Linked DNA regions of Macaca fascicularis. The protein of the gene in region 3 interacts with the protein of the main gene of each other region in a pairwise test. Links are inferred from orthologs where the notes say so. Each region holds a gene or a part of one and is shown on either strand. Other genes may lie near its edges.

Region 1 (3,500 bases), on a different chromosome or scaffold from region 3:
GATACATAAAGGAAACGACATAAAGATGACCAACCCAGGTCCTATTCCATCCATACAGTACAGAACCACCCAGCGGGAGCTTGGCACTATAGTGGCAGCCTCTGAGCCTAGAGCGTCTACTGAATTCTGGCTGTCCCTATTCCAAGCAGCTTATCTTCACAATACTTTCCTCACCCAACTCTGCCCCAAATTAGTGGAATTTGATGTCAAAGGCAGACTTTTTTTTTCTGATTTTGCCAGAGTAAGTAAACTGGGAAAACTGCTCTTTGGCTTCTCTTTTGTCCCAGAGCCTCCTAAATCAATGTTGCGAAATGGTAGGGACAACACTGGAGTGAAGAAACCAAGCCACCCCGTGGCTGTCCCAGTTTGGCTTTAGCCACATCCTGTTCAGTATCTTACTTCATACTGGAATATTAGCATGGAATATTAATTAATTTTTCATTATAAAACTCTGCCGGGTGCAGTGGCTCATGCCTATAATCCCAGCACTTTGGGAGGCCAACGCGGGCAGATCACCTGAGGTCGGGAGTTCGAGACCAGCCTGACCAACATGGAGAAACCCTGTCTCTACTAAAAATACAAAATTAGCCGGGCGTGGTGGCAGGCACCTGTAATCCCAGCTACTCGGAAAGCTGAGGCAGGAAAATTGCTTGAACCAGGTGGTGGAGGTTGCAGTGAGACGAGATCATGCCATTGCACTCCAGCCTGGGCAACAAGAGTGAAACTCAATCTCAAACAACAACAAAAAAAATCCTCCATGTGTGGCCATAAACCACCCTTAAACCCGGGGATAAGGGTTGGAGACAGCTCACTGTACCGCTGCTAGGGTTCTGGACATGGTTTCCTGAGAGACCTTTATGCTCTGGGTCCTTCAAACCAGTCACATGGGCTTTGTGTGCACTATCTTCAGACCCACTGTTTTCAGACCCAGACAGGACGGAAAGTGGAGACAGCATCTCTAGGTGAGTGTGGAGCAGCAGTGACAACTCAGCAGAACCTACGTCAAGTCCTCATAGAAAAGGGAAAATAAGCTAGGATTCCCTCCCCGCTCCACTTTCTCCTTTCTTAAATAAAACAAGGGTTTGTGACCACTGGCCTTGAGTGCACAGAGCTCCTACCTTCCTTGCCCAGGAACAAAACACGGGGTAGTTCTTACAACAGTCCACCCGTCTGTCCTATTGCACTGTCAGATCTGAAGGGGAAAAACCCGATGAGATGTTTGGGGAAGTGGGAAGGGCAGACCCACTGTAGAGGCCACAGCACATCACAGAGGACTGAGGGGGCTGAGGCGAGAGGGAGGTTGGGGAGAACTGCTACACGTCAGTCCTCCAACTCTGATGAGCCTCTACCTCTTCTGGTACCACCAGCAGGAGTTCACAGTTCTTTCCTCGCAAATGATGTTTTAGAAACTTCCTATGGAAAAAGAGACAGAAAAAATGAAATACTGTCAAGTTGCAAATTCCAGTCTCAGGACCACAAAGTCACCTGAAACCTTACTATACCCGTGGCGGCCCAAAACACATTTCTGTAGTCATCTGGCTTTGGAGGGGTCCACGTTTGGTTGTCCTCCAATCTTTCCAGTTAAAATTCCAACCTAAATTTTTGCTCATCCTTACAGTTACTGCCAACAGTAGCTGGATCTGTGAATAACAGTACCCAAAGTACTATAAAGGACTTTTTTTGGTTGGTTTGTCTGGAGACGGAGTTTTGCTCTTGTTGCCTGGGCTGCAGTGCAATGGCATGATCTTGGCTCACTGCAATATCTGCCTTCTGGGTTCAAGCGATTCTCCTGCCTCAGCCTCCTGACCAGCTGGGATTATAGGCGCCCGCCACCACGCCTGGCTAATTTTTGTATTTTTAGTAGAGACGGAGTTTCACCATGTTGGCAAGACTGGTCTCGAACTCCTGACCTCAGGTGATCCACCCACCTTGGCCTCCCAAAGTGCTGGGATTACAGGCGTGAGCCACCACCTCTAAAGGATTTTTATAAATGTTCTTTGGTCCTAGGGAAATTCAGTCCTCCTTGGCCTGAATGTCTGTCTTCCTTTCTATGAACTGGCAACTACTGTCTCAGTTGTCTTAAATGGAGAGAACATTACAATGCCAGCCCCACCAGACCAGAAGGTTGGTATCTCAGGCTGTGCATCTTCCCTACCAAAAGGACTTAAAAGTACTGGTGGGTCATCGAAGATTAGGGTCAGGTCCAAGACACTATGATTCTATGATTCTAAGGTAGGGAGAGAATCCAAGGGCACAGGAATTTCATTTCCTTTGTCAAATAACCAGAGATGAGCTCAGTGTCCCCAACATAAGAAATGAAGCAGCCTAGCGCCTTAGTCACAACAGGTGCTGATTACCTGAGCTCGCTCTCGCCTCCAATCCACTCCGGCATCTTGAGTTTGGAGTCGAGGTTGTAGTAGGCCCCTCCCACCTCTCGGACACAGATCCAGTGCTGCCTTTTGAGGGGCAGTTTCAGTGGACCCCAGCATAGGCTGGAGGGCAGATTCATGATGAAGCCCATGACATTAGTGAGGGCAATGACACCGACATCCCTGCAGGGGAGAAATGGTGGCAGAATCTGAGGCAGCACACTTCCCAAGGTTCCCTGGCTGTAATACCACAAATGGCTACCTCCCCACTCATGCCATGAGCCCAAGTACTAAAAGCTTATACCACAACCGTGCTGTTCTCCATCAAGTCAAGCCTGATTCAGATTACCTGCGCTTGTCCCACCAAACAGCTTCATAGCCTTTGGTCTGAAGTGCTGCCATAATGACATTCACATCGTAGTTGCCATTTCCCAGCATGCTCTTCTTGTGAGGTGTCACCATGGTGTTTGGAGACAACCTACCAATGTGAAAAGAGGAGGCTGAGACTTGCTGGGCTGGCTAACCCCTCCTGACCCTGCACTACCGGGGGTGGAGAGCACTTGACATCACTGCTCCTGGAAGTTAGTTTCCCAACATTCAAGTGAAATTTCCCCGGCTTCTACCTATTTTGTAACTGTTCCACGAAGGAGCCTCACTTATGAAATCCCAGCCTCCCACAGCCTTTCTGCAGTCTTCCTCCTGATACTGATCTTCCTGCCTCATGTAAGCCTTTTTTTTCAACACTGGAAAATAGGATTCAATATTTTCATTTGCATGGATAGTAACTGTTGTCACTCCTGCTTTCTATTTAAGGCATGTACACTTGGTAATCATTAATCATTAAATACTGAAAGGCATACAGGAGCCTAGACAGGTGACACAAATGTATAAACTGGGGTTGGACATAAGGCAATAAAAAGCAGTGAGGCCTATGTGAAACTGGAATGCATGACCCACCTAAAGGCATTGTGTGTGTGTGTGTGTGTGTGTGTGTGTGTGTGTGTGTGTGGTACTTGAATAAATTTTTCTTAAAATACCCAATAAATGAACTGAAAAAAAAGTTGTGCCCAGCAAACAAAACTCAGCTGCAGCACTGGTTTGCCCACCCAGCTTGAAGTCATTTACTTCCAG
Region 2 (2,753 bases), on a different chromosome or scaffold from region 3:
AGACTAATTAAATTGTACAATTTACGAAGAAATCAAATAAAATTTTAGTAAGTACCCTTGTTGATGTATTCATTTCTTCTAAGATTGCATATGTAAATTGTCTCTCTTGTCTTTACCTCCTTAGAAACTTACACATGTCCAAAAATGATTGAGATAGAGCAGGCGGAGGCCCAGCTTGCTGAGTTAGACCTGCTAGCCAGTATGTTCCCTGGTGAGAATGAGCTCATAGTAAATGACCAACTGGCTGTAGCAGAACTGAAAGATTGTATTGAAAAGAAGACAATGGAGGGGCGATCTTCAAAAGTTTACTTTACTATCAATATGAACCTGGATGTATCTGAGGAAGCAATGGTAATTCAGTTTTGCTTTTGGAAGGATTGAAACATGTTGAGACTTAAAACATTGGTTAGTGCACTTTTTCTTCTTCTCTTTAATCAGGCGATGTTTTCTCTGGCCTGTATTCTTCCTTTTAAATACCCAGCAGTTCTGCCTGAAATTACTGTCAGGTACGTTACAGAAGTTCTGGCCAACTTTAGAGGTCAAATTAATCTGAGAATAAAAGCAACTCTTGAATTTGTTTTCTGTTCCCAGACAATTGTTTTCTTATATCTTTTCTGTTAGATCAGTAATATTGAGTAGATCCCAGCAGACTCAGCTGAACACAGATCTGACTGCATTCCTGCAAAAACATTGTCATGGAGATGTTTGTATACTGAATGCCACGGAGTGGGTTAGAGAACACGCGTCTGGCTATGTCAGCAGAGATACTTCATCTTCACCCCCCACAGGAAGCACAGTCCAGTCAGTTGACCTCATCTTCACAAGACTCTGGATCTACAGCCATCATATCTACAACAAATGCAAAAGAAAGAATATTCTAGAGTGGGCAAAGGAGCTTTCCCTGTCTGGGTTTAGCATGCCTGGAAAACCTGGTGTTGTTTGTGTGGAAGGCCCACAAAGTGCCTGTGAAGAATTCTGGTCAAGGTTTGCTTTCACATATGTATGTGAAGTCATGTCAAAAATTTTAATAGTAAACAAGATACAGTCATGTGCTGCCTAGTAATGTTTTGCTCAACAGTGGACCACACATAAAACAGTGGTGCCATAGGATTATAATGGAGCACATATAGAAACCTGATACATGGCACTTGATCTTCCCACTATTGAATATCAGAGTGATATTCAGTAATCGTGCTGGGACATTTGCTTTTCTATATGAAAAAATATAAATACAAAAAAAGTACCATCTAGGTTTGTGTAAGTACACTCTATCGTGGTGGTACAATGACAAAATAACCTGAAGATACATTTCTCAGAATGTATCCCCATTGTTGAGCAACACATGACTATTAGAGATTTGGAGATAAGTATGTCCCGGGGGTTGTATCTTTATGGGGATTCAATCTCAAGTTGATAGATACGGCAGAAATCGCATGTAGTCAGCATTTTCCCCCTCACCTGACAAGTACATATAGGAGACATTCTGTAAATATACGCTGAATGAATTGAGCTCCTGCCCAAGACACGATGACCCCATCCACTTCCATGGATCTGATCCTTCCCTTATCTTAGTGATGCTGCAAACTGTATACCCTATGAAGTAAGGGGCTTTCTAGAAGCACTAGAGTTGCCACTAGTCTTCTCATTTCTCTACTGATATCCTAAATGAATTTCTGAGAAGATCCATTAATAGTTTGGGATTCAGTAATTCCTACATTTCTAAACTACTGATACAAGGCCGTAGTAAGGGCAACAAATGAGTTTGGGGATGGGATTATGACCAGAATCATATTTGATTAAAATAAATCCCTCTGAGATAAAAGTAGGTTTCTTGGGTGGGGTGTGATGACTCACACCTGTAATCCCAGCACTGTGGGTGGCTGAGGCAGCATATCAATTGCAGCCAGGAGTTTGAAACCAACATGAGCAACATAGCAAGACCTGTCTCTACTAAATAAACAAAAGTTATAAAAATTTTAAAAAGTAGACTACTTCTAGGAAAAGGCATTGATAAGTCTGTTTTATAACTTCTGTTTTATGTGCTCTATACATTTTGAAAATGTTTACTTTGGAAATTTCTTTTCAGACTCAGAAAATTAAACTGGAAGAGAATTTTAATCCGCCATCGAGAAGACATTCCTTTTGATGGTACAAATGATGAAATGGAAAGACAAAGGAAATTTTCCATTTTTGAAGAAAAAGTGTTCAGTGTTAATGGAGCCAGGGGAAACCACATGGACTTTGGTCAGCTCTATCAGTTCTTAAATGCCAAAGGATGTGGGGATGTTTTCCAGATGTTTTTTGGTGTAGAAGGACAATGACAGTAAGAGTAGTTGAAAGTATCTTGTCACTGTTAGTCTTTTGATTTTTTTTTCCCACTTTTTCTTGAAAGATTAAGTAAGTAATTTTATTTTAGTTCCATTCTAGAACGTTGGGGAGTGGGGGACAAGAAAAAATAGTATAGCTGAAATGCATCTGTTAAAAATGTCATGATTGAAAGCAGAACTGAGTTTTAAATTACAACCTTAAAATTGTTAGATATTTCTTCACATATCAGCTGCCCATTTTGAAAAAGAAATGATCCACAAAGGTGATGTTGGTGCTCCAATTTGCCAGCCATTCCCAACCCCCTTCTCCCTTACCTGCCTTCACTAAAGAACCCAGAAAAGCTAATTGTTTCCCTTTCAGCCTCTGTTGCAACTAACAACTCTCAGTGGCCTCAGGACACAGCTTTGGCCTTGGGAATTCTGGGG
Region 3 (3,365 bases):
TTCTGGAAAAATGTCCGATTATTATGTCCATTTTACAGACGAAGAAATTGAGGCCCTTCTAAGTGGTGAAAAGAGATTCAGCCCAGACAACCTGAATCAAAATCTCACACTTTTACCTACTACTCCACAAAACAGAAGTAGAATGCCATTGGATGTCAAATGGATTTTTCCCCATCATTCTGTGACATCTTTATGCCATCCCACTTTCAGGAAGTCAGCTTGCTTCGTGGACAGCTTGGGGACCGCCTCAGTGTGGAGCTGGACACTGCCCCCACCCTTGACCTCAACAGGGTCCTGGATGAGATGCGCTGTCAGTATGAAACGGTGCTTGCCAACAATCGCAGAGAAGCCGAAGAATGGTTCGCTGTTCAGGTCAGCACCCAGATCGAAAAAATGGCAAGGTTACAGACTTCCGCCTTTTGTGAATTCTCTAATGGTGCCTGTGTTTCAGACAGAAGAGCTGAATCAGCAGCAACTGTCCAGTGCGGAGCAGCTGCAGGGCTGCCAGACGGAGATCTTGGAACTGAAACGCACAGCCAATGCTCTGGAAATTGAGCTCCAAGCACAGCAAAGCCTGGTGCGTGAGGCAAAGGCAGTGTCCGTTATGTCACTGATAAGTCAGGCTCTGAGATGTTAAGCCCTCTTCCATATCCAGGGATCACATTTCCTTGCCTTTCCCAAGTACTGCCGTTTACCCAGTATTAATAGAAGCAGAAGTGACAGGTCCACAGCTTGTGTTGTCCCTCTAAGATGCCTTACCTTCACTCCTGGGCTTGAGTCTGATGCTGCAGCAGCCTCCAGAGACAGGGAGGGAGAAGCAGAGCGAGAGAAACCTCCAGGCCATGGTCACTTAAGCATTCCAGCAGGTTTTAATTCTCATTTGATTCAGGCCAGTTTTCCAGGCTCACTGTTATATCTAAAACAAAGAATCATTTTCAAACATTTCATCCTACAGTTTCCCTACAGGATCTACACTTCAACCTGATCCTTCACTGTACCCCACCCCACTCAAGCAACAAGAACACCATGCGTCCAAGATGACATGAACCAGTTCTGGTCAAGCACCACTGTGTGCATGTCATTAGATCCTGCGGAGAATACCTAGGAGAACAATAGCTGAGCATTCATCCAGTGAGAGGCACTATGCTCATTTAAGCCTCACAGTAACTTCACGGGATAGATACCTTTATCCCATGACACAGATAAGGAAAACTGAGACTCAGATTAAGTAACCTGCAAAGGATGCAATTCTAAGAGGCAAACTTGGAAGCTGAGTTCAGCCAGTTGAATCCCAGAGCCTCTTCTCTCTCTCTTTTTAAATTTATTTTTATTGATATACAATATTTGTAAATATTTATGGAGTAGATGTGCTATTTTGTAACATGCATAGAATGTGTAACGATCAAGTCAGGATATTTACAGCATCCATCACCTCAAGTATTTATCATTTCTAGGTGTTGGGAGCATTTCAAGCCCACTCTTCTAGCTATTTTGAAATGCACAGTGTATTGTTGTTAACTGTAGTCACCCTTCTCTGCTGTCCAACATGAAAACGTATTCCTTCTGTCTAGCTGTATGTTTGCACCCATTAACCAACCTCTCTTCATCCCCTTACCACACACATGCCCTTCCCAGCCTCTGGTATCCAGAGCCTCTTCTCCTAACAGCACTATACTACCCCTCCCTGCCAAGAGCCCAAACTCAATCTTTCCTCTCATATGCTGTTGATAGTCCTTAAGCTTCACAAATAAGTCATGTATTGCTGTAGTCATAGTGGTGGTAGTGATAGCTGACATGTAGAACAGTGGCAGTACGGCTGGCACTGTTCTAAATGCTTTACACATATTAATTCTTAATCTTCACAACCCTCTAATGAGACAAATACTTTGCATATAGAGAATAAAACTGAGACTCACAGAAGCTAAATAATTTGCCAGTGGTCACATAGCTAGAAAAGGGTAAGCAAGGATTTGAAAGTAGGCACTCTGGCCCAAGAGACTGCACTTCATGGTCCTTTGGACAATGTTTCCTCCTGCAGACAGAATCTCTGGAATGCACCGTGGCAGAAACCGAGGCCCAGTACAGCTCCCAGCTGGCCCAGATTCAGTGCCTGATCGATAACGTGGAGAACCAGCTGGCCGAGATCCGCTGCGACCTGGAGCGACAGAACCAGGAGTACCAGGTGCTCCTGGACGTGAAGGCCCGGCTGGAGGGCGAGATCAACACGTATCGGGGCCTGCTGGACAGTGAGGACAGCAGGCAAGTTCCACAGTTACTCATGATATCCCCCAGAGTCACAAAGAGGCTGATGTAAAAGAATCCTGTTTCCCCAAGGTCTGGACAAGTTCAAACCTCCCCAATGTGCTCAGGGATCTTCTTAAAAGAGGGCTGAACAGTGGCTGAGGTTAAGCACATGACACTAGAGATATTTTAAAAATATTATAAAGGCAGATTAATTATTAGTGTAACATTTCATACTGGCATCTCCCTTTGTTCCTGTTTTCCACTAAAGGAAAATCAGGAATAGGCCTGAGATAACATTTGCAAAATCAAGAAAAAATATAAAATTCTATTCAACTGCCACTGCTACAGTGAACATGAAGTGGCAATTCTGGGTGCAGAGAAGAAACAGGCTTCAGTCAATGCTATTGTGCAGAGTTTTTTTCAGAACATAATTTGTGGACAAACTTTGACATGGTTTGTCTGAGTTTCCATTTTATCAAGATTCCCTTGCTAAGCTTGGTTTAACATCAATTTTTCCCCAGGCTTTCCTGTAACCCATGTTCGACCACATGCACCTCGAGCAACACTTGTGAGCCATGCTCAGCCTATGTCATCTGCACGGTTGAAAACTGCTGTTTGTGAATGTTAAGGACAGCAGGTAGAGGAATCAAAGCCGGCAGCATCCTAGAAAGGAGATGGGGCTTCAACCAGGGGCATCCAAACAGGAATCACAAATCCAGGGGACGCTCATATCCTGGAATTGCCCTCCAGGTATCCTCAGTCTTTCTGCTTTACTATTTCCTCTCCTTCCGGCTTATTTGTGGTATGCTGGGAGCCCATAAAGCGTTCTTGCTCATCTCCAAATAAAACATGTTTTACTCCTTTCACATGGTAAATATAGCTCTATGGCTGATTAGTGTTGATAGAATATTCATTTTATGGCAAGAGAATCATCTAAACCCATAACCATAGTTTCAACATACAAAAACCCAGGTTGAAAATATTTTTTAACTCCTCAAATACAAACACATTAATGAACCCATGCAAAATGTCATATATCTTAGAAAACAGTTGTGTGTATCTTTCTGAGAAAAAAATTAGGAATAGAATAATAAAATGTATTTTTTGATTATAAAAGTACT
Region 4 (4,213 bases), on a different chromosome or scaffold from region 3:
CAGCCTGGGGGTCCAGGCCACCCAGCCTCACAGCACTGGAGTGTTGTGGGTCAGTGAGGCCCCGGGACGGGCCTCCAGGCACAGAGGGACAGAGGGTTCAGGGAGGGCGGTGCAGACCCACACAGGGCTCCTCCCAAGCCTGTGCAGGGCCCAGGGGAGCTGCACCTCCGGGACGGGACAAGGCAGGGTCCTGGCTTTCGTCAGCCACAGCACAGCTGCCACAGGGCACAGAAGGATGACTGAGAGACGAGGTCCTCACCCACACCATGGGGAAACCGAGGCACGGGACGGTGGGGGGGCAGCCAGGCTGGCGCCAAGTTCACAGGCAGGCGGGCCTGAAGGCCGAGCAATGCAGCCACTGGGAAGGCACGAGTCGGGGTCGGGGTGTCCCCAGCCCTAGAGCCCAAAGCCGCCACCACTCCCCAACCCCAGCCTGGGTGGGGGCAGGGAGAAATCTTCTTGGGACCAATCCCAAAACCATGCGCAGTGGGCCCGGCTGGAGCCCAGGCAGTAGGCATCCTCTCTACCGGGATGAGAAACTGGGCCCTCATGTCAGGCTGGAAGGGGGATCTCCAGGTGGGGAGAAAGAACAGGAAGAAACAGGTCGCTCCCTCAAGGGACCCCACACCCAGGCTGCCCCAGGCGTGGGGTGGGCTGAGCCCACCTGTGTCCACACAGGGACCTGGCAAAGCTGTATGAAGCTGTGGGAGGGGGCTGACGCTGGATGGGCACAGGCCCACTGCCTCTGTGAGAGGACAGGGGAGGCCCAGAGCTGCTGATGCAGACTGACCGCCCATCTCACAGACGGGGTGTAGGGGGCTCCCACCGTCCCCAAGGTCACAGGGCTGGCCGGCGAGACCACACGGCGTCCAAGGCAGCAGAGGCCACGCTCGAGGGACACGGCGTGTTCTGGGCACTCGGGGTCACGGGCATGGGGATCAGGCCAGAGCGAGAGAGACCCCAGCTCCCTCCTGCAGCGCAGGCTGCAGGTGGGAGAGGCAATGGGCACCTGCCGAGAGGGTCACAGGCAGGGAGGGGTCTCAAGAGTCCCGGGGAGGGAGGCACTGATGGAATGATGGAATGCGCACGACCCCCCATCTCCCTGTGAAAGACCCCACGGAGTCCCAGGCACTCGAAGGAGGGCAAGGCCCAAAGCTGCAGGCCCGCGGGGCCCGAGCAACAGGAGGCTTGACCCAGAGAGGAAGCCCCGGGCCCCTGCCCAGGGGACCCTCCGGTCTCTCCCCAACCCTAGCAAAGCGCCTCCCGAATGGGCTGAGGTGAGCGGGAGGCAGGGAAAAGTTTGGGGGGACTTAGAGGCGTGCTCGGGATACTCGCTCCCTGCTGAAGACCCCCTGAGAGAGCCCTGCGGGGGGAAGCCCCGGGGCCAGGCTGCAGGAGGGCTCTAGGGAGGAACGCGGCCCCTCACCGGGGCTCCCCATCCGCAGAGGGGACGCACCGGAGTCCTAGCACAGGGCCGCGGGCCGGGGGAGACCCCACAGCCCCAAAACTCCTGCTCCCAGACCGGCAGCCGGCGCCTCCCAAGGCCACGTGCTCCCGCGGGGGGCTCCCGGCCCCGGCCCCCCGGATGTCCCCGGCCGCCCGCGCCCCTCCGCCACCCCCGCGGCCGCCCCCTCGGCCCCAACAGGTGGGCCGCCCCCCACCCCCGGGCCGCCGCGCCCCGCCCGCCCCCGATGGGGCCGACCCGCGGGGCCATTTTGGGTTGGGGTGAGCACTGCGGGGGGAGGTTCGGGAAGGAGCCGGGGGCCGCGGGGGCGGACGGGGGGCGCGGGGCCTGCGGGGCGGAGGGGCGGGGGAGGCGGCAGCGGCGGCGGGTGGGGGCTGCGGGCGGGTCGGGGCCGGGCATAAAGGCGGTGCGGCCTTACCTCCGACCCTGTACATGTTGGCGGCCATGTCCGGGCCGGCGGCGGCGGAGGGGCCCGGGGCGGGCGCGGCGCTCGGCGCGGGCGGCCGGGAAAATGGAGGCGCGATGGCGGGGGCGGGGGGCGCCGCAGGCGTTTAAAGGGGCCGCGCTGCTGCCGCCGCCGCCGCCGCCGCCGCCGAGGCCGCCGAGGCCGCGCAGGGACGGGAGGGCCGCGGCGCGGGCGGGAGAGGAAGAGGAGGAGCGGCCGCGGGCGGCGGGGAGGGGCCTCGGGCGCCGCCGCCCACCGCGCGGGCCGTTACCGACCCCGCGCCGCCCGCGGCCCGTGCGCCCCTTCCCGGACAGTTCCTCCCGGCGCCCCCGAGTCCTCCCCGCGCGCCGCTTCCCCGGTGGGCCATTCCACCAGACCCCCCTGGTAGATCCTCCACTAGTGCCCTGGGGGTAGAGGGGGATCCTCCACAAGGGTCCTTTCCCTGGTGATTCTTCCTGTGCCCCACAGGTGAGTCCTGCCATAACTCTCCAGGGGGTTCCTCCTGATGCTGGGGTCCTCCGGCATTCCCCCCTGACCCCCAACAAGGGCCCTGAAGCTCAGCGGCCCAGCCCTGGCCTCGGGGTCCCCACCCCACACCTCCCTTCCAGGCCTAACCTTTGCCCCCGACACCAGGCAGCGTGTGTCCTTGGCCTTCGCCGCCCAGCCCGCATGGCATCTCTGGACCGGTGACCGTGCGCGCCTTGGTGTGGGCAGGCTCCGTAGGCGGCAAAGCCTCCCTGAACTGTGACCTGGTGAGAAGGCCACAGAGGAGGTGCCTGTGCCCAAAGGCCACCTCCGAAGACCCCACCTGAGGCTGGAACCCAGCGCCTGCTGACCTCCCCAGCCCTAACAGGGCTGGAGTCCGGGAGCGGCCGTGCCCTTTCCACAGTGAGGCAGCTGCCCTCCCTCCCCACCACCTGTCAGGATGCCCTCCTGTGTGTGTGTGTGTGTGTGTGTGTGTGTGTGTGCGTGTGTGCGTGTGTGCGTGCGCGCACAGGTGTAACGAGAGGAGAGTCCAGTGACCCAGACGCCCCAGCCAGGAAGAGCATGAGGTGGGAAGGGGGCTTCCCAGATGGAGAAAAACAGATGGTCCCACAGTGGCTTGGAGACAGGTGCAACATCAGTGTTGGGGGAGGTGAGGAAAAGGAGCTGTCTTGGGGCTCCAGGCTGCTGGTTTGAGCAGCACCATGGGTCTCGGCCCTGCCTGCTCAGATGCTGGAGGTCAGTGACTGGAGGGAGCTGACATCTACCTGGGACATCCCTCCCTGTAGGACATGGAGCGGAGTGTTCAGGGCTATCAGGAGGGAGCCCTGTGCCCACGGTTCAAGATCTAGGCAGGTGGGACAGATGTGGTCAGGGTGCTGGGGACAGAGCATAGGGAATCCGGCACACAGGACACCAGCCAGGTGGGCAGAAAACAGCATGTGCTGGGAGAAAGCCAGGTGGGGGTCCCGAGGAGAGCAGTGGCCACAATGTCTTGGCTGCAGAGCAGACTAGAAAGGAAAACCCTGCCAGGGTTAGCACAGGGCCAGGAACCGAAGCTGCAAGGCAGTGCTGTCTCTGGGGAGAGAGGGCTGTGGGTCCCAGGACACATCCTACGGGCCGCAGGGAACAGGAGCTGGCTTGCTGGTGATTGGGTGGGAAGAGCAGACAGCCAGGGGCCAGGTGCAGGAGAGGGGCAATGACAGACAGGCAGTGTCTCCCTAGAAAGAAGGTGGGGCTGCTGCCTCCCCTGTCCTACAGCCCCGGCCTACCTCTGTCTCCTCAGCAGGAAAGCAACGCTGCGGCCTGAGATCTCCTTCCACCAACTCCTGGCATGGTCAGAAAGTTAGCCAGAAACAACAGAAAGTGCCAGGCAGCTAGGAGGCATGGGGAGAGCCCCCGAAGCTGTGTGTGTAGTGCCTGCTTCCGCTGCCATCCCAGAAACGGAGGCGCTTCACCCTGAAAACCCGGCCACGCCACCAGGACACATCCTGACAGTGACATGCACACTCTCCCCTGGCCTTGGCCTGGAGGGGAGACTCCTGCAGACACCAGCCTTGCTCCTTCTCCCGTTGGGGGTGGAGAGAACTGACTGCTGGAGGGGAGACAGTCAAAGCTGTCCTTAGGAGGGAGTACGGCGCAGGGTCTGGTGTCCCAGGGAGACAATCTGAACTTCAAGCCAGGACACCGCAGCGAAGAGGACACACCCCTTACCATGCAGAGTGACGTTTAGTAAACTCTCAAAAGACAGCACAGAGCCCTGTTCCTCCAGCCGACCCCTACTCTGCCTCCCCACTCCAGACCAGTGAAAAAGGTGGATT
Region 5 (2,994 bases), on a different chromosome or scaffold from region 3:
CGAATGAGGCAGGGAGACCCCGCGGCTCTGGAGGGCGCTCTGCCGGACAGCTGCGCCTCGAACGCCCTGCCAGCCACGGGCTGCAGAGGGGCCGGGGACGCTGTAAAGTGCAAATCAAGGTGAAGAAACAAAGTGCTATGGGTCGTCCTCGAAAGCGGTTCTGCCTGTGGCTAAGTACATGGTACTCCTTAAGCCGGGAAGGAAGACCAGGTACTGGGGTGGAAACATCTTACATCGCAGTCCTGCTTTTACTCTGAGTAATAACGAGGACTCTGAAACTGGAACCCAGTGGGAAAATCTGATAGGCTTTTCCTTCGAAGACTGGTCTGAACTGTGAAACAAGTCGTGTTGGAACAACGGTCATGGCAGCTGAATTTAATGATACACACGGAGAGCCTATTAGTCGTTCCTATTTTCCTCTGGCACCGACCACAGAGTCATGAACACTAATTTTTTTTTTTTTTTGAATTCCACAGCTGGAAATCACAATATGTGACCTCTTTTTCCCTTCAGGTCTAACACAGGCAAGGAATATATTCTTGACTTAAGCAATACTGCATTGGACAAAATAATTCTGGAAAAATACAAATGTAAACTACATTTCTTCTTTACCATTTAAACTGAGATATACTTACCACTCACATTCATATTTCTGAAACTTTTTACAACATCACAATTGTCATTTTAAACAAGCAAACTTTTTGTGTTTTTTTTTTTTCGTGGTTTTTTTTTTAAGGATACCCTGGAAAGTCAGCTGATAGAACAATTTGAGAATATATATATACATACATTAAAAAAAATCACATGTAGCGTAAATGGTGAAACTTAAAGAAAATACTGGGTGTCGTATTTTAAGTTACAAAGAAATAAAAAATACAATAACTATTTCATAGAAGTAAGGACATTGTTTCCCCTTTATGCTCCCAGCCCTCCGTAAGACTCTCCTCTCTCTGCCTGTGACTTCCTCGTGGGAACACTCGGCTTATCTTTTCAATGTGTAGATGCTGTGCTGGGTATTTTAGTGGGTTCAGATTTGTCATCCCCTGGGATGCTGGAGAACTGTATGGTGGGGAGTTTGGTGGCTGGAGAGAGAACCTTCCCTCACAGTAAGCTGGACACAAGGAGCCTAATGTTTTCTACCTGTGACAAACAGGAGCAGGAGAGCGGAGCGGGTGGATGGGCTGCCTGTGCTCAGGGAGCAAAAGCTCGGGTGTGCGAGGGGAATGGGCCTTTCTTCCTGCACTTCAGGTTGTAGCACCTTCCACTTGGGTGTCTAATGCCTCTAGGGGGTGGTGAGATGCACCCATTTATAGTTATTTGTTATTCTTACCTCTAATTATCACACAATTTATAAAAATAGAAATAACAAAATGTAAGCTGGGTTCCAGCTCCAGAGGCATTTCTCGCCGTCCTCTGAGAACACGGAGGAGAAGTCAGGTCTCACCACGCCTGTCCCTCAGAGCCGAGTGTGAGCCAGGCCACCAGTTAAAAAAAAAACAAAAGTCGTCCTCGCCACGAGCTCCGTGGACTCTGAGGCCACTGACCGCATTCCACTGTGTTCACGGTACAAGGAGCATGAGAGCAAGGGCGTGTTCAGTGGAAGAAATGACAGAAACCACCAGGGAGGCAACAAACTGTACAAGCGTTTTGTGAAAAAGCAGGAACAACCAAGGGGAAGGTGGCCGGCCTCCATCCTCAGAGCCGGGTCTGGGCCTCGGGGATGTAGATCTCGATGCTGTCCGCGCGCTCGGTGGCAGAATTCTGCCGGAAGGACGCCGCTCGCTTGGCGGCCATGAGTCGTCTCCGGGCTTCCTGACGTTGTCTGTCGGGCAGGTCCAGGGATTTTTCTCTTGTGATGGGAAATTTCCCTTTGGGGGGCTTCTTTGGTATTGGAGGTGGGACCTTTCTTTCTTCCTGAAAAGCATCACAAGTCAACATTGGCAGGTGGTCGGAGGTGGGTCCTTAACAGCTCAGTGGCCCTGGGGTCTGGCCCACACCCTTCCCGACCACAACCCCCGTGGCAGCATCCTTCATTCCCTTCCCACGTTTCCCCTGGTCCCTGACTCCCAGGCCACAGGCTTGCCTTCTGCACAGTATGTAATTTTAGAAGCTCCCTCACACTCTGAATTCAAAGGGGGCAGAGGTGTTGGGGGCAGGGTTCACGAATCAGGAAATACATTCTGCAGATTCGCGCCTTGCGTCTCTGGAGTCACTGAGTTATTCTGACATTGTTGCCTGATTCCTGCACTTCCCGAAGCCCTGTGTCATCTCCTCTGAGCATCGGCCGATACCTGCGTCGCCAAGCTCGGCACTGCGAGGGTTTTGGACACCATCGCTGGACATCCCTATTAAACACTGCAGGGATTTCCGCAGACTCTGGGATTCCAAGTGTGTTCATGAAAACCATCTTACATGGGTGGGTGTGTTGGGAAACACTGGCCGAATTCTCTTGTTGGCCTCAAATCCCACTGACATGGATGATATTTACAAAACCACTATTCACTGGCTTGCTTTGTAAAAAGATGCAAGTAAGTATTCCTGACCCTTAGCTCAGATTCTCAGATAAGTCGCGCTAAAATACGTGTATGCCTTTTTAGAAAGATAAATCTCACAATTACGCAACAAATGCAAAGGGTAAAGCTTGCACTTGCCCCCGCAAAACGTCTGTGTCCACAACTGTGCGTTCACATCGTTCCTAAAGACAGCGGGGCCTGCCCCGTCTCCCCTTCTGGACGGAGCCATGACAGGGACTCTGTAGCCAGCTGTTTCCTTCCCAGGAAAGGGCGCATGGCAGAAGGCGTCAGAACCACTTTCCTAAGTCGGTATCTAATTTTGGGGGAGAAAAGCACGAAAACCCCACTCGTGTCTTTTTCTCTTCAGCCTCTGAAACATTCCACAGGGAGCCCAGAGGTGCTTGGAGATCGGGGAGACAGGTAGTAGCGTGAGTGCGGAGGAGGCCTGTGGCACGGAGGCTGCTTTGGTGTCTGGAACTTT
Region 6 (4,118 bases), on a different chromosome or scaffold from region 3:
ACAAAGCATTAAGTGGTCATTGACAACCCTAATTTTAATAGAAGGTAATAAATGATCTTACATAAAGAACTACAGGTAGTCGGTAACTTTCGATAAACGAATACTAAAGAAATTTTTATGTTTTGATGCCTAAATGGTACCTCCTACTTTACAGATATTCGCTAAGAAAAATTTCAACCCAGAATAGAATGCATATTAAAGGACATATGTGTAAGGTCCATTCTTCAGCTTCTGGCCCAATTCTACTTACAATCTCAAATAGAGTTTTTTTTTTGTTTTGTTTTGTTTTATGTAATCTCTGCAGTGAAGATGTGCAAAAGTGAGATGTAGCTTCAGAATGATTATTTTCTTTTAGTTTCTCCAGGCAATGATGTCCAACACATTGGTAAACCATTTTAAATAAAATAATGAGGTATTTTTGTGAAGATTTGGCTCAGAATTAACCGGGAAGCTATCACTTTCCTAACTGCAACCATTGCTCGTACTAATGGAGGACTAAGCTACCCAAACTATTTAAACTATACATATTTATTTGGAAAAGTTTTATTTGATTACAACAAAGTTGAGTCATTTAGATATACCATATACATTAATGATTAAATTCCTTGATAATTAGGTAGAAACAATTGTATATAGTTATTCCAACTTTACTCTCAAAAGCAAAATATAAATAACATAATCCTTGCTATTTTTAAACAAGCCAAAATAATCTTCAAGTTTTTCCTTTTCACTCTGATAGCATTCTCTATCAGCAACTTGCATTAATGTTGCAGCTTTAAGGTGCCGCATATCATTTCATATCACCAGCACACAACAGTGTATCAAGAGAAATCAGCTCTGAATCTTACTCTGTAACAATGTGCAATTGCCTTGGTCTTGGATCCTTTAAGAAATACCAAAGGGAAAACTCAAAACTTTTCAATAAACCCGAGGGTAGATTTGCTCAACGACCTGACCAACCAGGAAGTAACAGAAGTTTTGCTATCCTGTTGAAAAAAAAACAAAAAAACAAAAACAAAATCACAGACATGAGATTGTCAAGAAGTCAGGGAGGAGACTTAAAGGTATCTTAATGAAAGTATTTTCTCTTCAGTGCCTTTTAAAAAATGTCACTGCATCAGGATTAATAAGAATATCTGGATGCAAGGACACCAGGTTGCAAGTACACTAAAGAATGGTAAGGTCAGAGAAGTGTTTCCTGCCTTTAAAGTTCCTGAAAATAGAGGCTAGGCGTGGTGGCTCACACCTGTAATCCCAGCACTTTGGGAGGTTGAGGCAGGCGAATCACAAGGTCAGGAGTTCGAGACCAGCCTGACCAACATGGTGAAACCCCGTATCTACTAAAAATACAAAAATTAGCTCGGCAAGGTAGCGCGCGCCTGTAATCCCAGCTATTCGGGAGGCTGAGGCAGGAGAATAGCTTGAACCCGGGACGCGGAGGTTGCAGTGAGTCCGAGATCCTGCCACTGCACTCCAGCCTGGGCGACGGAGAGTGACTCCATCTCAAAAAAATAAATAAATAAATAAAAGGGAAAAAAAAGTTCCTGAAAATATAAAGTTGCTTAGATATACAGCAAGTTTATCGTTTTAAAACCAAATACACTAAAGCAGATGAGAACACAACCGTGACCAAGCGGTTGGGAGAAAGATGGATTTTAATGCAAAGTTGTTTTGTTTTTATGCATAAGGTACTCCTCGCTGTGCTCGAGTGCGGAAAGGTGGGGTTCTTCCTAAGGTTGATTACATAAAGCAAGATTCCAAAAACAAGAAAAGTGCTTTGCAAACACAGTAACTAGAACTGGCTGAAGCTTCCAGCGTCCAGTCCCATGCTCAAAGATCAGAAAAAGCAACTTTATCCACCACTTTAATAAAATGATTCAAAAAAGTTGAAGTCTTCTTAAGAAAGCCATGGTTGAAAACTTGCTCCGCTTCTTGGAGAACGCCTAAAGCCCTAACGGGCTCAAATTATTCTCCGAAGTCTAGAGCCCAAGCTGCATTTTACGCATTTATTAGACTACAAAACCACGGGGACTCTTCACTCAAAAGCAAAAACACATCCGGAAAGAGGAAAAAATCCATGGCCAATGTAACCCCCTAACCACACGAACCGCCCACGTCCTACCCCAGGCTGCAACGAGGTCGGCACTCACCCACCGCTCGCCCGGGAAACCCAGACCCAGGTATTTCAAAATCAGAAGCACGGCAGGCTCGTAGGCTCTCACGGGCAAGAATCTTAAACCCCAACTTCAGAGATACCCGTGCACGCTGGGCGCTGCCATTTTGACAGAAAGCGGGCCTTGCCCCGGAGGCCCCTACGCAGGTCGCCCTGAGCAGAGCCGGAGTGCCACGGAACCCCTGTCTCATCACCTCCACACCCAGACGTCGCATCCCCCGGCCCAAGGAATGCCAATAAATCCCACCCTGCCGACCATGATCGGGCGAAGTTAAGTCACCCTTGAAATCCCGCAAGGTCTCTCAGGCAGCGGCGAGGGCGGCCGCCGCCAGCGTGGGCGGGGCTGTTAGGGGCGGGGCGTCGACGCGGCGGCCTTCGGTAACCCGGGCAACGCGGCCTTCTAAAGGCACAAAGGGGCGCTGCGCCCCGAAACACAAATGTCTCCGCCAAAACCCCAGACGGTTCGCAAAGGCTCTCCGTGATGCAACTGCACGTCCCTCGAATGCCCGGACCCCCAATATCCGTCCCCCAGGAGCTTGGCTGGATGCACGGGCGGCCGGGCCTCTTATTTTCTCGCCCTCCGGCCGCGTGGAGATGCTGCTGGATCCCGAGCCTCCCGGCGGGGGCGGAGGCGGGAGCGGGGCGGGGCGGAGGCATCTCCCTCCTTGCACCGCCCCTTTAGCTGCCCCGAGCCCTGCCTTCGCCCGCCCCCGAAGCGGCGCGGGACGCCCGGCGCGGTCTGCGGTCCGCAGGGCTGCCGGCTTAGGCTTAGGACCGGCCCGCTGGCAAGGTCGAGCCGCTGCATTTTATTTCGTGCGTGGTTTCTGCACAGGCTGGAGTTCCGAGGTTGGGTCGTACTTGGGACCTCGGCGAAGAGGACCCGTTAATTTTTTTTCTTTCCAAAATGGCAGCCTCCAGTCGCGCACAAGTGTTAGATCTGTACCGGGCGATGCTGAGAGAGAGCAAGCGTTTCAGCTCCTACAATTACAGGTGACCCAGCGGGCACCGGGGACCGGGGGCCAGGGGCCGGGGACCGGGGATGTGGGTTGCCGTGGAATGTCCCCGGGAACTGGGAGCCACTGTCCTGCGCCGGCGTCCGCGAGGCAAGGACCGGGCTCCGCCATCGAAAAGCGTGCTCCTACCTACAGGTGTGGCCTCTGAGACCTCGGGGAGGAGCCCTTGTTTCTATCAGGGAAGACGTTCGTGTCCTGTGACGCTTTCCCCCTAACGACTATCTTGGTAGTTGTTCTAGGAGCATAATTAGTGTTATGTTTCTGCAGAAGAGAAAAAAAAGGATGGAAATCAGCCATTGGTGAAGTTAAGGCCAATGTGTTGCATATGTAAAACTTCCCTTGAGCTGGAAGAGTTGAGAGTGGAAGTGGCCAGTGAGTTGCACACAGCGACAAAGCTGAAGGCACACTTTAGCAGCTCCCTAAAATTTCCTGGGTGTCGTAATGAGTTCTTTTGGTTGCAAGAATCAAATCCATTCTATTTAGGGTACGGTGGAAACGTGTAGCGGTAAAGGAAAAAGCGTCTCAAGCTTTAGAGCTGAAACAGTTTATCCTGGCTCACCAGACAGAGATCCCGCTTCCTGGACCTTGACAGCAGAATACTGAGGGCCTAAACTCTTACATCGTTAATATAACACATTCACTTTTTCCCACGCCTCCCCATTTCCCTATTTGCCTATGAGTCTTTTATTGTTACTCTTTGTATGTTTTTTGTAATTCAGAACCTCTGCTTTCACAGTGTTGCTGGTTGTGACCCATCATTTTCTTATGGATTCTCTCTGCATTTTTTTTAGGTTTGTTTTTTGTTTTGTTTTGTTTTTACTAACTACCTGCTCCTCTCTGAGTTTGAGCCATATTCCCATGAGAAAGAATCTGATTGGATCAACTCATCTCTTTACCCCAAGGCCCCCTTAGGTGACTGGCCAGACTGTGGA
Region 7 (4,087 bases), about 56 Mb from region 3:
GCCTGTAGTTCCAGCTACTTGGGTGACTGAGGCATGAGAATCACTTGAACCCGGGAGGTGGAGGTTGCAGTGAGCCGAGATCGTGCCACTGAACTCCAGCCTGGACGACTGAGTGAGACCCTGTCTCGCAAACAAACAAGCAACAACAAAAAACCCAAGGGTAAACTACCCTGGTCTCCAGACCCTACCAGCGATCCCTAGACCCACCAAGTGTCCTGTAAATACAGGCTGTTTTAGTATCCAGGGTGAAGGATGTGACTGACTCCTCGTAGAATGAGTCCATGGCAGGGACCCAGCTCAGAGCTCCTGGATATGACAGCAGCAGTCAGCAGCAGGAGGATCCCCCTGGTGCCTGGAGCCTGTTTGTCTAAGTCCAAACTCTCTTTCCAGACACAGATTGACCCCAAGACTGAAGGAGAGGGCCCAGAGTAGAGCAGGCTCCCCCGCCCAGCACCCCCTGCACACCAGGAGAGCGCCTGTCTTCCTGCCTCGGGTCTCACTCACTCTATCCACCCTCTACAGTGGTCCATAGTGATCCTTCTAAAGGGCAGTTCTGACTGTGACACTCAACTGCTCGAAACCCTTCTATGGCTTCTTGTTGCACATAGGACCAAGCCCCAACTCCTGGGCCTTTCACACCAGCTGGGTGACGGCTGTGAAGGCTCTTCTTCATCAGCTCGACTGTCTTTGCCTTGGCAAGCCAGAGCCCAGGGGTTGGAGCCCAGCCCAGGTTAAATCTGATGAGTTACGTGACCTTGGACAAATTCATTTCATTTCTCTGATCCCTGAGGGTGGCGAAAACAATCAAAAAGTTCTTCCAAATAAAGACTAACATTTGGCTCAGAGAACTCTCTGCAGAGGGTCCAGAAAGAGCCACCCTCTTTCTGGAGAATTCTCTCGTCTTCAGAATTCCCAATGAGACACCGAGGAGAAACCTCTGCAGCCCCCAGTCCTCTCTCTGGAGGTCTGTTCATCCTAATGGCTTCTGTCCTTTCTAAGTGACACGTCTACACCTCCAGCTCTGGGTTTAAAGATGCATCGGTTGAAGGGCCCATAGACGCTTACATCCAATATAAGGACATCTTCCTGCCAGCACCTCTCATTTGACAGCAAATCCCCTCTAACTGACCTTCTCAGCAGCTCCTGAAGTTTATCCTCTGCAAGTCCAGATCCTTAGTCTCCTTCAGGAGCACCTCTGCTTCTATTCCGTTCTCCATCACGTAGATAAAGGACAAATTCTAATATGCTAATGAGACCAGACTTTCCACTGTTTAGAATCCTCCAGACTCCTGATCATTCCTGGGAGAGTCTAAGCTCCTTCATGTCCTTTCTCCCGGCTCTACCTTGCTCTCTGTCCTCTGCTCATACCCAGACTACAATTCTGGCTCTCCTCAGGGGTACACGGCTGAGTTGGCAGTACACCTTGCTTTCCCTCAGCTCTAGGCTTGGACCTGAGGGGCTCTGGACTTGCACTATTTCTCCTACCCTAAATACCCCTTGACCTTTGCTTCCCTGGGTGAACTCTGGAATCATCTCCTCTGGGAAGCCTTCACCGGCTAAGTTTGTGTTTGGCGAGCCCTCGCTATTGGCCACTTGCTTGCAATTTCCTATCACGTACAGCTCTTATCACCTGGTATTGTGAGCATCTGTTTCCTCCAAGACATGTTTTCACTAACTCATTCAACTATTTGTTGAGCGCCTATATGTGCCAGGAACTATTTGGGGTGCGGGGGAAACAGCAGTGAACTAACCAAAATCCCTGTCTTCTTGGAGTCTATATTCTTGAGGCTCTTTGAGGGCAGGAACTGTCTGGCACCAAGGAAACACTCCATTAAAAAGATGATTAGTATTGTCAGTATTACCTGGGACATGGCACCCAAAGCGCTCTTAGCTGAGCGAGCTGCAGCCTGGAGGCCCTGCTGACCTGGCTCTGGGGTTTCCAGGCGTTTCCAGGAGGGGCCTGTGCAGAGGTTGAGGTTGACGGCTCTCAGGGGCAGCCTCCTTTGGAACTGCCTGCACAGAGACCCCAGGGCCCCTGCAGAGGTCTCCTGATGGCTGGCCACAGGCTGCAGCTCCTTGCTGTCCTCCAGCTGCTCCTGGTGCCGGAGAGATCTCCGGCGCACAGAGGTCCCCATGCTCTGCCACCGAGAAGCCATTTGTCTGGCCAAGAGTCTTCTCTGTCCACTAGACCCTGGGGAGGAGGGCAAAAAAGCAGGTCAGCAAGGCATTCCCCATCCCCATTTCCAGGCCCCACAGAGACCCTGGACACAGGGGAAGAGATGGGATGCAGCGGGGTGGCGAGGGCGAGCGGGGAGCGGGCGAGTTGGCAAGTGTGGGTGCGGGAAGGAGGATGCTTCCTGGAAGAGAGGTCTCGGGTCAGCAGCATTTCTGCTGTCCCGCACTTCAAGTTTCCAAAACAGCTGTCTTTTCATCCCAACCTCCTTCCTCTCTCTGGCTCAGGCGAGGAGGGGAGGCGGGGTCAAGACACGCCGTAGCCGAGCTTCAGCGCTGGGCCCAGGACACGATCACCATCTCCTTCACCAGCTCGCCCAGACCAAACGCGCCCCCACGCAGATCCCGGCCTTCCCACCAGACGCCCCGATTTTGATCCGACGCTTGTAGTACCCAGACGCCTCCACAGGCCGTGCGTGTCCGAACCCGATGCCCTCCCCTCTGAACAAAAAAAATTGTTTTGAGCCGAGATCGCGCCATTGCACCCAGCCTGGGGAACAAGAACGAAATTTGTTGTGCCCCGCCCGCACTCACCCGACAGCACCAACGCGGATCACACGCCCAGCACAGCTGCTCCTCGCCCACCACAGCCGGTTTGAAACTCTGCGCGGCTCCGCCCCAGGCCCCGTCCTCACAGCTGATTGGTTCTGTCCCCGCCCCCGTCCCCGCCCCAGGGATCCGATTGGCTTTCTCTGTCGCGGCTGTAAATGCTGCGCTCGGATTGGCCCGGCCGTCCCCATTCATCTCTCCGGCCCCCTCCAGGCCGCCAGCCTCGTGGCTCCGGGCTTTGTATTATGCGTCCCGCCCGGGCCACCGCCCTTGCCCGCCCAGCCCCCGCGCATCGCACGCCGGGTCCCCTCCCTGGAGCGCGCACAGGGTTGAGGCTGCTCTGATCCCTGGGGTGGAGGCGGAGGTCCTGGGATCTAGGCCTCCTGGCTCAGGCCTCAGACCCCGCAGTGGGCAGGGACCCTGTCCATCCTGCCAAGGGGTCTGGCTTTTCTTTCTTGCTCAGTGGTTTTGTCCGAAGGAGCCAGGGCCTGGCAGTGCGGAGCCCTGGGTTCCCAGAGACGTTTCCTTTCAAATTTCCCTCCTGACCCTCCCTTCCTGTGACAAGACACTGTCCCTCTCTGAGTTCCCCATACTCGCCATCCATGCTCCGCGCCCCCCTCCCAGAAGATGCGTCCTGGAAGCGGGGATAGACCAGAGTACCCGTCTGCCCTCCTCCCGCCTACACCAGCTCCCCGTCCCCGCCTTGCCCCACGCATCCCTCCCTCTCTCAGCGGAATGCCTGCCTCTCCTCTCCTTAGCATCCAAACACAATCAGCCATTATAGAAGTTCATCCTTCTCCTTTCGGTGACCTCAGAGCTGTGCTGCCCAGTCCCCCGGCTGGTTTCTTTGTTACCTCTCCGGCACAAGAACCTGAGATGCTGACTTCTTGAAAGACTGTCTTCAGCCCTCTTCGTTTCTGGGCGGTCTCACCCACTCCTTTGGCCTCAGTGATTTCCAACGAAAGGATGATGATAATGATTAACGTGTATATGGCCCTTAGTATGCACAGGTACTGGTGTTGCAGTTTATTAACTGATTTGACCCTCTGCTATGGTTTGAATGTGTCCCTCAAATTTCACATGTTGGAAATGTAATGCCCAAATTCGTATATTGGTGGCATTTGTTTGTTTTTGAGACAGAATTTCGCTCTTGTTGCCCAGGTTGGAGTGCAGCCTGGCGATCTCGGCTCACTGCAACCTCCGCCTCCCGGGTTCAAGCGATTCTCCTACCTCAGACTCCCGAGTAGCTGGGATTACAGGCGCCCGCCACCACGCCCAGCTAATTTTTTGTATTTTTAGTAGAGAT

What was found.
Region 1: the proteins of KRT40 (region 3) and JOSD1 interact in binary tests that used the Homo sapiens proteins (3 or more experiments, as listed by UniProt). The two-hybrid records come from large-scale screens. The link is inferred for Macaca fascicularis from reciprocal best matches to the Homo sapiens genes KRT40 and JOSD1.
Region 2: the proteins of KRT40 (region 3) and RWDD2B interact in binary tests that used the Homo sapiens proteins (3 or more experiments, as listed by UniProt). The two-hybrid records come from large-scale screens. The link is inferred for Macaca fascicularis from reciprocal best matches to the Homo sapiens genes KRT40 and RWDD2B.
Region 4: the proteins of KRT40 (region 3) and MTA1 interact in binary tests that used the Homo sapiens proteins (3 or more experiments, as listed by UniProt). The two-hybrid records come from large-scale screens. The link is inferred for Macaca fascicularis from reciprocal best matches to the Homo sapiens genes KRT40 and MTA1.
Region 5: the proteins of KRT40 (region 3) and DLGAP2 interact in a two-hybrid assay, tested with the Homo sapiens proteins (2 studies listed by BioGRID). The link is inferred for Macaca fascicularis from reciprocal best matches to the Homo sapiens genes KRT40 and DLGAP2.
Region 6: the proteins of KRT40 (region 3) and FARS2 interact in binary tests that used the Homo sapiens proteins (3 or more experiments, as listed by UniProt). The two-hybrid records come from large-scale screens. The link is inferred for Macaca fascicularis from reciprocal best matches to the Homo sapiens genes KRT40 and FARS2.
Region 7: the proteins of KRT40 (region 3) and PIMREG interact in binary tests that used the Homo sapiens proteins (3 or more experiments, as listed by UniProt). The two-hybrid records come from large-scale screens. The link is inferred for Macaca fascicularis from reciprocal best matches to the Homo sapiens genes KRT40 and PIMREG.

The regions. Positions count from the first base shown.
Region 1 is NC_088384.1:12,963,923-12,967,422, reverse strand, and holds part of JOSD1 (josephin-1), read right to left. Parts: intron 2,848-3,500; coding exon 2,719-2,847; intron 2,553-2,718; coding exon 2,358-2,552; intron 1,414-2,357; coding exon 1,314-1,413; 3' UTR 1-1,313.
Region 2 is NC_088377.1:18,027,091-18,029,843, forward strand, and holds part of RWDD2B (RWD domain-containing protein 2B), read left to right. Parts: intron 1-124; 5' UTR 125-144; coding exon 145-351; intron 352-438; coding exon 439-506; intron 507-621; coding exon 622-984; coding exon of another isoform or gene 985-1,000; intron 1,001-2,086; coding exon 2,087-2,321; 3' UTR 2,322-2,753.
Region 3 is NC_088390.1:62,064,418-62,067,782, reverse strand, and holds the end of KRT40 (keratin, type I cytoskeletal 40), read left to right. Parts: intron 1-210; coding exon 211-372; intron 373-451; coding exon 452-577; intron 578-2,038; coding exon 2,039-2,259; intron 2,260-2,765; coding exon 2,766-2,865; downstream 2,866-3,365. UniProt on the Homo sapiens protein: May play a role in late hair differentiation.
Region 4 is NC_088381.1:173,603,274-173,607,486, reverse strand, and holds the start of MTA1 (metastasis-associated protein MTA1), read right to left. Parts: upstream 2,801-4,213; 5' UTR 2,587-2,800; coding exon 2,526-2,586; intron 2,379-2,525; exon of another isoform or gene 2,177-2,378; intron 2,116-2,176; exon of another isoform or gene 1,912-2,115; coding exon of another isoform or gene 1,884-1,911; intron 1-1,883. UniProt on the Homo sapiens protein: Transcriptional coregulator which can act as both a transcriptional corepressor and coactivator. Acts as a component of the histone deacetylase NuRD complex which participates in the remodeling of chromatin.
Region 5 is NC_088382.1:1,818,539-1,821,532, reverse strand, and holds the end of DLGAP2 (disks large-associated protein 2), read right to left. Parts: intron 1,915-2,994; coding exon 1,696-1,914; 3' UTR 501-1,695; downstream 1-500.
Region 6 is NC_088378.1:167,737,181-167,741,298, forward strand, and holds the start of FARS2 (phenylalanine--tRNA ligase, mitochondrial), read right to left. Parts: upstream 2,801-4,118; 5' UTR 2,430-2,800; exon of another isoform or gene 2,421-2,429; intron 2,291-2,420; exon of another isoform or gene 2,151-2,290; intron 987-2,150; exon of another isoform or gene 849-986; intron 1-848. Other genes in the region: LYRM4 (LYR motif-containing protein 4), read left to right, coding at 3,078-3,163. UniProt on the Homo sapiens protein: Is responsible for the charging of tRNA(Phe) with phenylalanine in mitochondrial translation.
Region 7 is NC_088390.1:6,486,092-6,490,178, reverse strand, and holds the start of PIMREG (protein PIMREG), read right to left. Parts: upstream 2,801-4,087; 5' UTR 2,767-2,800; exon of another isoform or gene 2,626-2,766; intron 2,192-2,625; 5' UTR 2,157-2,191; coding exon 1,863-2,156; intron 1-1,862. UniProt on the Homo sapiens protein: During mitosis, may play a role in the control of metaphase-to-anaphase transition.